Linked DNA regions of Xenopus tropicalis. The protein of the gene in region 1 interacts with the protein of each later gene in a pairwise test. Links are inferred from orthologs where the notes say so. Each region holds a gene or a part of one and is shown in the gene's direction. Other genes may lie near its edges.

Region 1 (4,299 bases):
ACCCTGCCCTCTTGTCTGTCTATGACAGAGTTCAAAGGCGGCAACCCTAGAACATACCTCCCAACTGTCCCGATTTTGTGGAACAGTCCCTCTTCTGACAGCTCAACCCGCAGTCCAGGATTCTTACTAAAAAGTCCCTCATTTCCCTTTGATCTCCTGTACTGAATGCTAAAAAAGATACAAATTTAATTAAAAAGTAGCTTTTGGCAGAGAGCCCAGAAAGTTAACAAGCTTCAGCTGCATTTAGATACATTGTTTCTCACATTAAATTAAATAAGTAGCTTTTGGCAGAGCCCAGAAAACTTAACAAGCTTCTCCTGCACTTAGAAACATTGTTTCACACATTTAATTAAATAAGTAGCTTTTGGCAGAGAGCCCAGAAAGGTAAAAAGCCCCCCCTGCACTGAGATACAATTGTAACTAATAATCTAAACAGGTCTCTTGGGGGGACTGAGACTTGCAGCTTAAAGGGCAATTTCACCTTTTTTTAACAAAACTGTAACAACACATAAAACAAGACCCCAAACCCCCAGAAATGTTTTCAAACTTTATAAAACCTGCCAATTTAGTCAAATGGGAGCGGTATTTAGGGGGTGTGGTTGCAAAAATGGGCGTGGTCAAAAACAATTCACCATGCCGCATTTAATTTTGTGCCTCTTTCCATTTTCAAAATACTGGGAGGTACGTTTTCGGGTCACAACGGTTAATGTTACAGTCTTGTGAAACCCAAACAATAATCCGGCCAATAACCAGCAATAATGTCCAGGCCCCTCCCCCAAAAATGTCATGACCCCACCCTCAAATTTCTGCCCCTAATATCACCCTGCCCTCTCGTCTGTCTATCACAGATTTCAAAGGCGGCAACCCTATAACACTGGTGCTGGTGATTCCTTACCAAACAGAAATATAGATTGGCCTTAAATACCCCAATGCAGCACCCCTCTAATGACTGCCCTATATACCTACTATAGATATATAATATATATATATATATATATATATATATATTATATATCTATATTATATATCTATATATATCTATATATATATCTATATATATATATATCTATATATTATATCTATATATCTATATATTAATAATCTGTCTGTTGTTCCTCCATTGATCAGCTGACCCTGCCTTTCCCAATCCCCTATGACATCACTGCTGTTGGTACATTCCTTTCCTCAGACTTTCAGGTGACGTTAGTCACATGACTATGCCAATTCGCAGGCGTTACCTGCCCTTCCTTCCGCGGAGGACCCTAAAAAACTACAAAGGACCCACGATTTAGGCAACCATGCAGCTGCCTGTAAAATACGCAACGCTGAACTCGCACCTAGACAGATGTTTAGCCTTTATATGCTGACGTGTAAAGGTTCCTTTTGTAAAAGAGTTCAGCGTATGAATATAGAATAATTCCCCAAGCGCGGCGGCACTTGTTTTTGAGTCAGGCGGTGAGCGGGCAGACCCGGAAGCCTCTGTGCTTGGATGTTGTGACTGGGGAGAGAGGAAGCCGGAGTAGGAAGAGCCAGGCTAGCAGCGGGGCCCCAGCACTGTACACGGACCTCTCGCCTTCCTATCGCCCCAGCATGCCGCTCTTCGGCTCTAATCCCTTTGATCAGGATGTGGGTAAGTGCTATCCCTGGAACACGGGCATCCATACGGGGAATATGCAGCTCCTGTATAACTACAACCCTCAGCGACCCCTATATGCCTGCGGCTGTTGGAGAGTTATAGTTCAGTAACAGAAAGGATTTCAGTATTATTGGTCCATGTAGTAAAACCCGCGGCTGCTGAGGAACCTCTTGGGGAGAAAAGCTGTCACGTCATGCCTACTTTATTATCCAGAAGCCAGCAATGGCCTTTAGCTCTGGTATCCCACATGGGCTCATTTATTATTATTATTATTAACATTTATTTATAAAGCGCCAACATATTCCGCAGCGCTGTACAATAAGTGGGTTTCATACATTGGACATACAGAGTAACATATAAAGCAATCAATAACCGATACAGGAGGGGAAGAGTAACATTTGTACTTGCCCAGTAACCCATGCCAACCAATCACATTTGTACTTTAATTAATCATCCTGCCACTCTCTAACCAAAGCTAACCAGCCTATCCCATCCCCAATAGTGTCAGTACGCTCCTGCCATACTGCTTCATATGTTTCCTCTAGATAAAGGGATGAGATGGCCAGGCTGGTATATCATTTACATCTATTACAGCTATGGGATCTGTTATTCAGAAATCTCCGAATTACAGAATGCCTGTCTCCCATAGACTCCATTTTAATGAAACAATTCAGATTCTTAAAATGCATTTTTCTTTTCTCTGTAATAATAAAACAGTGCCTTGTATTTTATCCCAACTAAGATATAATTACCCCTTATTGGGGGAAGAACAGTCCTATTGGGTTTATTTAATGGTTAAATGATTCCCTTTTCTCTGTAATAATAAAACAGTACCTGTACTTGATCCCAACTAAGATATAATTACCCCTTATTGGGGGCAGAACAGCCCTATTGGGTTTATTTAATGGTTAAATGATTCCCTTTTCTCTGTAATAATAAAACAGTACCTGTACTTGATCCCAACTAAGATATAATTACCCCTTATTGGGGGCAGAACAGCCCTATTGGGTTTATTTCATGGTTAAATGATTCCCTTTTCTCTGTAATAATAAAACAGTACCTGTACTTGATCCCAACTAAGATATAATTACCCCTAATTGGGGACAGAACAGCCCTATTGGGTTTATTTAATGGTTAAATGATTCCCTTTTCTCTCTAATAATAAAACAGTACCTTTACTTGATCCCAACTAAGATATAAGGGGCAGAACAGCCCTATTGGGTTTATTTAATGGTTAAATGATTCCCTTTTCTCTGTAATAATAAAACAGTACCTGTACTTGATCCCAACTAAGATATAATTACTCCTTATTCGGGCAGAATAATCCTATTGGGTTTAATTAATGTTTTATTGTTTTTTTTTTTTTTATCAGACTTAAGGTATGTAGATCCAAATTACGTAAAGACCCCTTATCCAGAATACCCTTGGTCCCGAGCATTCTGGATAATAGGTCCCATACCTGTACCAGCTTTTGTCATTGTGAGGGCTATATGTAGCGCACTGGCTGTCTATGTGCTTTGTATATAATACATTCCAGTGTAAGGACAAACCAATCAGAATGCTGCAGTGGCTTAGGCTGCTTTTTGTTGACAGACCAGGTTATGATAAGGAAATCATGGCATCTGCAGGTAAAGGGCATGTCAAGGATGTTTTTTTACCCCTCATACCAAAGACTGCAAGGGCAACTATCTCAGCAATCTGTATGCACAAGCTGGAGTCAGAATTCAGGTGACAGTAGGGCCCTTTCCAGAGGGGACACAAAGCTGCATGTATAAAGTCAGATGTAAAAAGGAAATAGAAAGATTAACTTGATTATTTCAGAAATAGTACAATTATGTGATGTACCTTTCATTTTTGTATTGAGTCCTCAGGTTATGGATTTTTTTGTTCTATGGTTTAAGATCACATCATTTGTTCTCTTGGGGGCCCTTTAGAATTACCCCACCCCCACTGATGCAGTTGCAAATCCTGTACATAACTGATACAAAGACACAGGCTTACTGAAGGCCAGCTGAACAATTGTGACCATCCATTTAATTGTCAGCTGCCGATTTGGGTCCTTCACACTGATTTGGCAGCTTATCTGCCCAGTTATGGGCATCACCGATGGGCCTACCTGACCGATATCTGGACTAGATCAAGATCGGGCAGGCTTTATTTTCCCATCAGATCTGGGACAGCATTGGCTCGTTGATGCGTTTCCTTGATCCGACAGCCGATATACCCACTGTTTTTATTTGATCGTTTAGACCAGTGATCCCCAACCAGTGGCTCAGGGGCAACATGTTTCTCCCCAACCCCTTGGATGTTGCTCTCAGTGCCCCCAAACCAGGGAGTTATTTAAATTCCTGACTTGGGGGCAAGTTTTGGTTGAATAAAAATAAGATTTACTCCCAAATAAAGCCCCTGTAAGCTGGTGCATAGAGGCTGCCTAATAGCCAATCACAGCCCTTATTTGGCTCCTCCATGAACTTTTATGGTGCTTCTGTTGCTCTAAGTCTTTTTACATTTGACTGTGGCCCATGAGTAAGAAAGGTTGGGGACCCCTGGTTTAGACCTATGGCTAAAGAATAATTAGCCCAGACAATCCGCTCGTTTGGCGATCTCCCCAAACAAGCAGATCGCACCATGTATGGCCACTTTTAAACAAACCCCGACGCTAT
Region 2 (4,220 bases), on another chromosome or scaffold:
CTAATATGCAACTGAACAGATGTAGCGAGATATATGAAGGGCTGGAAGTTAAAAGAAGGGTTTGTATCGGCATGGAGGTGACACACAGGCAAACGGAATTCCTGTGGCAGATAGAAAGATGCAGCTTGCACCAATTTGTTGTCTCTGGTGCAGGTCTTATGTTGACACTGTGCCAACCATGCCATTATTTACAGTAAAGGTTACACTGCTGTGAGCCCCAGCTAGGACCTACAAAAGAGCACTAAGACTTTGGGCTTAGTGTGACAGGGCAGAACATCCATGTAGCCCTTAGGGCAGCCTTTTTATCGCAGGGAACCCAAAATAATTAGTAGAATCAGCTTTTCAACTGCAAACTTACAAACAATATCATTTAATTGCTACTTTCTATTGTGAGAAGAAACTTCACATTATCCAGCGGGACCATGGAGACCTATTTTTGCGTCCTGCTCCATCAAATAAGGATCCCATATATATCTATTTACATATATAGCTGACATTCGTAATAGGTAGGGAGAAGACACACGGGGTGATTAGTTGCGACAACTTGTATACTAGTGTTAGTTGTGGCAACTGATCACCCCATGTATCTTCGCCCTATGAGTACACCCCCATATTTAGGGTTGGCACCTTTTTCTATCTGGCCTTTGGGTTGGGGGTGGGGTTGTGACTTCATTTTGGGGCAGGGCTATGATGTAAGGGGTGGGTGGTGGGTAAATGGGCTGGCTGGGTGGAGGGAAAAGTGGATGGGGCCCAGAAATTGGTGGGGTAATAGGCGGGGCAGAGGGGTGACCTGTGGTTATAAAGGGTGATTAGCAGCAGAGAGGGTCAGCGAAGGGAGGAATTTATAGGGCATTATACAAGTGTAAATAAATTTGAAATACCAGTGCTGGCCCTACCGGGTGATTTACCGGCCACGCAAGTCAGATACCAGCCAGGTGGCAACCCTACCCATATTGCTTGTGTAAGTTTACTTACCTGCGCATCAGTGCATTAGTCCCTTGTAAGAACCCTTAGGTTAGTCTCTTTATTTGAACACTATATTAGTCATCATTAACTAAAGGTAGTCCATTTAACTCCAGCACAACTCTGCCTATGCTATAGAAGCAAGACCTAACTAAAATTTCCTGATGTCTATTCCAATTACCTTGCAAAAATAAATAAATGAATAAACTCTTCTAAGACAATCATGTCAGTATTCAGCAGATCAGCATTATTCCCATGGGTGGCAACAGCATTAAGTAAACTCAGGGCTTGTTCTCATCCAGAAACAAACATATCCATATTATCTGTGGCTTCGTTATCCCACTGCCTTTCTACCTGCTCCTTCTGTTCCGCATTAATAACACATCATACCTCATAGTCTGCAAACATATTCACTGCAGCATGAACAGCAAACTCGCAGCCGAGGAGCCTCATCTTCCCCATCATGAGAAAGAGAAAGAGAGGAAGGGTACGAGTGCTTGCATTTATATCTATATGTATGTTTTTTTGCTATAGTTGTTATCTATGTATTCTGTGCACAAGGAAAATAGTTTATGACAATTAGAAACCACGTTCCAAATGTAAATAAGCCCTTTTCTTTTCTGCTTCTTACAACTTTTGTGTAGTGTCCATTTAGCTTGTTCCAATAAAGTGTGTACATGTTCAAACTGTAGTCAGAAATGACAAAAATTTGTGTAATGCATCAAAGTCAATGGGCTTTTTTTTTTGCAGCTACAGTGTACTGCACAGCTTTTTTTTGCAGCCATTGCAGTCTACGGGTGATCTTTCGTAACAAAACCTGGTTAAAATTTTCGCTCATCACTTGTTCAAAGTACAGGGCAGAATGGCACAAGGGGACTCTGTAATGCCAGGCTTCCTTTAGCAGTTTGTGCCAACGTAACAACTGACTTCTGTACAGTCAATCACACACTAATGGTATTATGGATTATGTGCATTAGAATTTTGTCATTTAGATTTTTATTGATTTTATGGAACAGAAAAAAGGAAATCAACAAATCAGCAATATAGAATGTTATTTTTCATCATAAACATGGTGTGAGCTTGTGAGCTTGTTGTGCTGTTGTTTTGCCATCTCCTTGGGTATTTTTATTGGGTGGTGCATTAGAATTTACACCATTTACACCAGCACTGCTGAGCCCACTAGTGTATGCTTTTTAACTTGTTTCCGCCACATGAAGTTACAATTCTGCTGGGAAACACAGCATTGTGGGTATAAACATGGTGATTTGCGTCCGATTACACATTGAGCACATAAGGCTACTGTAGTAAATGAACCCTCTAGTTTAACCTTATATATTTTTGCAGATGTTTACTCTAACAGTAATAATAATAATAATAATAATAATAATAAAACAACATCGGCATATGTTGTTTTTTGTGGTTTGGTGTAATTGGCCAGTTTTGTCAGGGTAAGTTGTGTTGTTTTCTGTAAGTGTGCAGTAGCACTTTACATTGAGTTCATAGGTTGCAACAAGCACTCTCCCCCCAGTTAGCACATTTGCCAATTGTGATTGGCTGATACAATGTTGAAATGTACCACAGCCTCAGAACATCACTCTCAACAACATACTAAAAGTTAATTTAAAGGTGAACTATCCGTTTAATAATGATTGAAGTCCCTCTTTGTTTAATTTATGAAATATAACTCAAATGGACTGAGGCTGTATGACGAGAAGGACTCGTTTAGTTGTGGCATTGGATGCATTACATTAATACACAATATATTCCCTAAGGAGTTCCTTTAATTTACATTTTGTTTTTCACTGGGAATCACCTGCTTCTGGGGGAAAATATAGCTCATTAAGCAATGATTACACAAGCGGAACTGCCTGCAAAGTTGTGATTCAGTGTAAAAGTGCCATTGCTTGCCCTGTTTGTTTCTTAAAGTGCGTAGCAACATAGGCCCTTGGGCTTTCTGTAGCACAGGAACTCTACTAGTGCCTGGATGTGTGCTGTGCTATCCTATAGTTCAACAGAACCCTTACATACTGCTATACTGTGCCTTACACTTATATAGGGAAGCATGGTGTGTACTCTCAAGGTACAGGAACATGGTGGTTTTCAGTGCCTTTGCCATACTGTGTAGTTTCTATGCATTCTATAGCAACAAACAATGCTTATTCTGACTCAACTCATGTTTCCCTGCAGGTTTGTACCAACAAACACCAATACTGAACACTTTAACTATAGGTTTCTTTCAGTTTTTATTGCACTACTGACATTGCATGACAAATACATTTCTAACTATCACATGCTTGAATCCTTAGTGTCACAGCCTTAGATAATATTAATGTTGAAATGGCCTTTAAAAAGAGGGAATAGGAAAAATACAGGTATGGGGATCTGTTATCCAGAAACACGTTATCCAGAAAGCTCCGAATTACGGGACAGCCATCACCCTTAATTAAATAATTGAAACTTTGAAAAAATTATTTTAATTTTCGCTGTACATGTATGGGATCTGTAATCCAGAATCCCATTATCCAGAAAGGATACAGGAAGGCCATCTCTCATAGACTCAATTTTAATCAAATAATTCTAATTTTTTCAAAATGATTCCCTTTTCTCTGAAATAATAAAACAGTACATTGCACTTTGTCTAAATACATAGTTAATCCTTACTGGGGACAAAACAATCCCATTGAGTTTATTTAATTTTTACATTATTTATTAGTAGACTTAAGGTATGGAAATCCAAATTATGGAAATACCTCTCTTTTGGAAAACACCAGTACCCAGAATTCTGGATAACAGGTCCCATAATTGTTATAAAGCAATACCTTGCATTCTGGATAACAGGTCCCATAACTGTAATAATAAAATGGTACCTTGCATTCTGGATAACAAGTCCCTTACCTGTATTAGTAGCACACTGCAGTACAGGTATAGGATCCATTATCTGGAAACCCATTTTCAAGAAAGCTCAGAATAACGGGAAGGCCATCTCCCATAGACTTAAAAAGGCATTTTCTCTGTAATAATAAACAGAACATTGTACATTAGCCTAGCTAAGATATATTTAATACTTACTGGAGGCAAACAGTCCTGTTGGGTTTAATTAATGTAAATGTTCCATACGTGTATAACCAGCAGGGCTAACAATATGAATTGTGTATCTAAGCACAATAAAAGTTACGATCCAATATTCTGGGAATTGAAATTCTTGCACTACTGTGTTTAAACATTGGAAAACCCAGAGCTTAAACAACAATCTCATT

What was found. The genes of interacting proteins can lie anywhere in the genome.
Region 2: the proteins of stam2 (region 1) and plekhb2 interact in binary tests that used the Homo sapiens proteins (3 or more experiments, as listed by UniProt). The two-hybrid records come from large-scale screens. The link is inferred for Xenopus tropicalis from reciprocal best matches to the Homo sapiens genes STAM2 and PLEKHB2.

Annotation. Positions count from the first base shown.
Region 1 is NC_030685.2:75,874,747-75,879,045, forward strand, and holds the start of stam2 (signal transducing adapter molecule 2), read left to right. Parts: upstream 1-1,370; 5' UTR 1,371-1,590; coding exon 1,591-1,630; intron 1,631-4,299.
Region 2 is NC_030681.2:126,782,291-126,786,510, reverse strand, and holds the start of plekhb2 (pleckstrin homology domain-containing family B member 2), read left to right. Parts: upstream 1-1,324; 5' UTR 1,325-1,383; coding exon of another isoform or gene 1,384-1,450; intron 1,451-4,220. UniProt on the Homo sapiens protein: Involved in retrograde transport of recycling endosomes.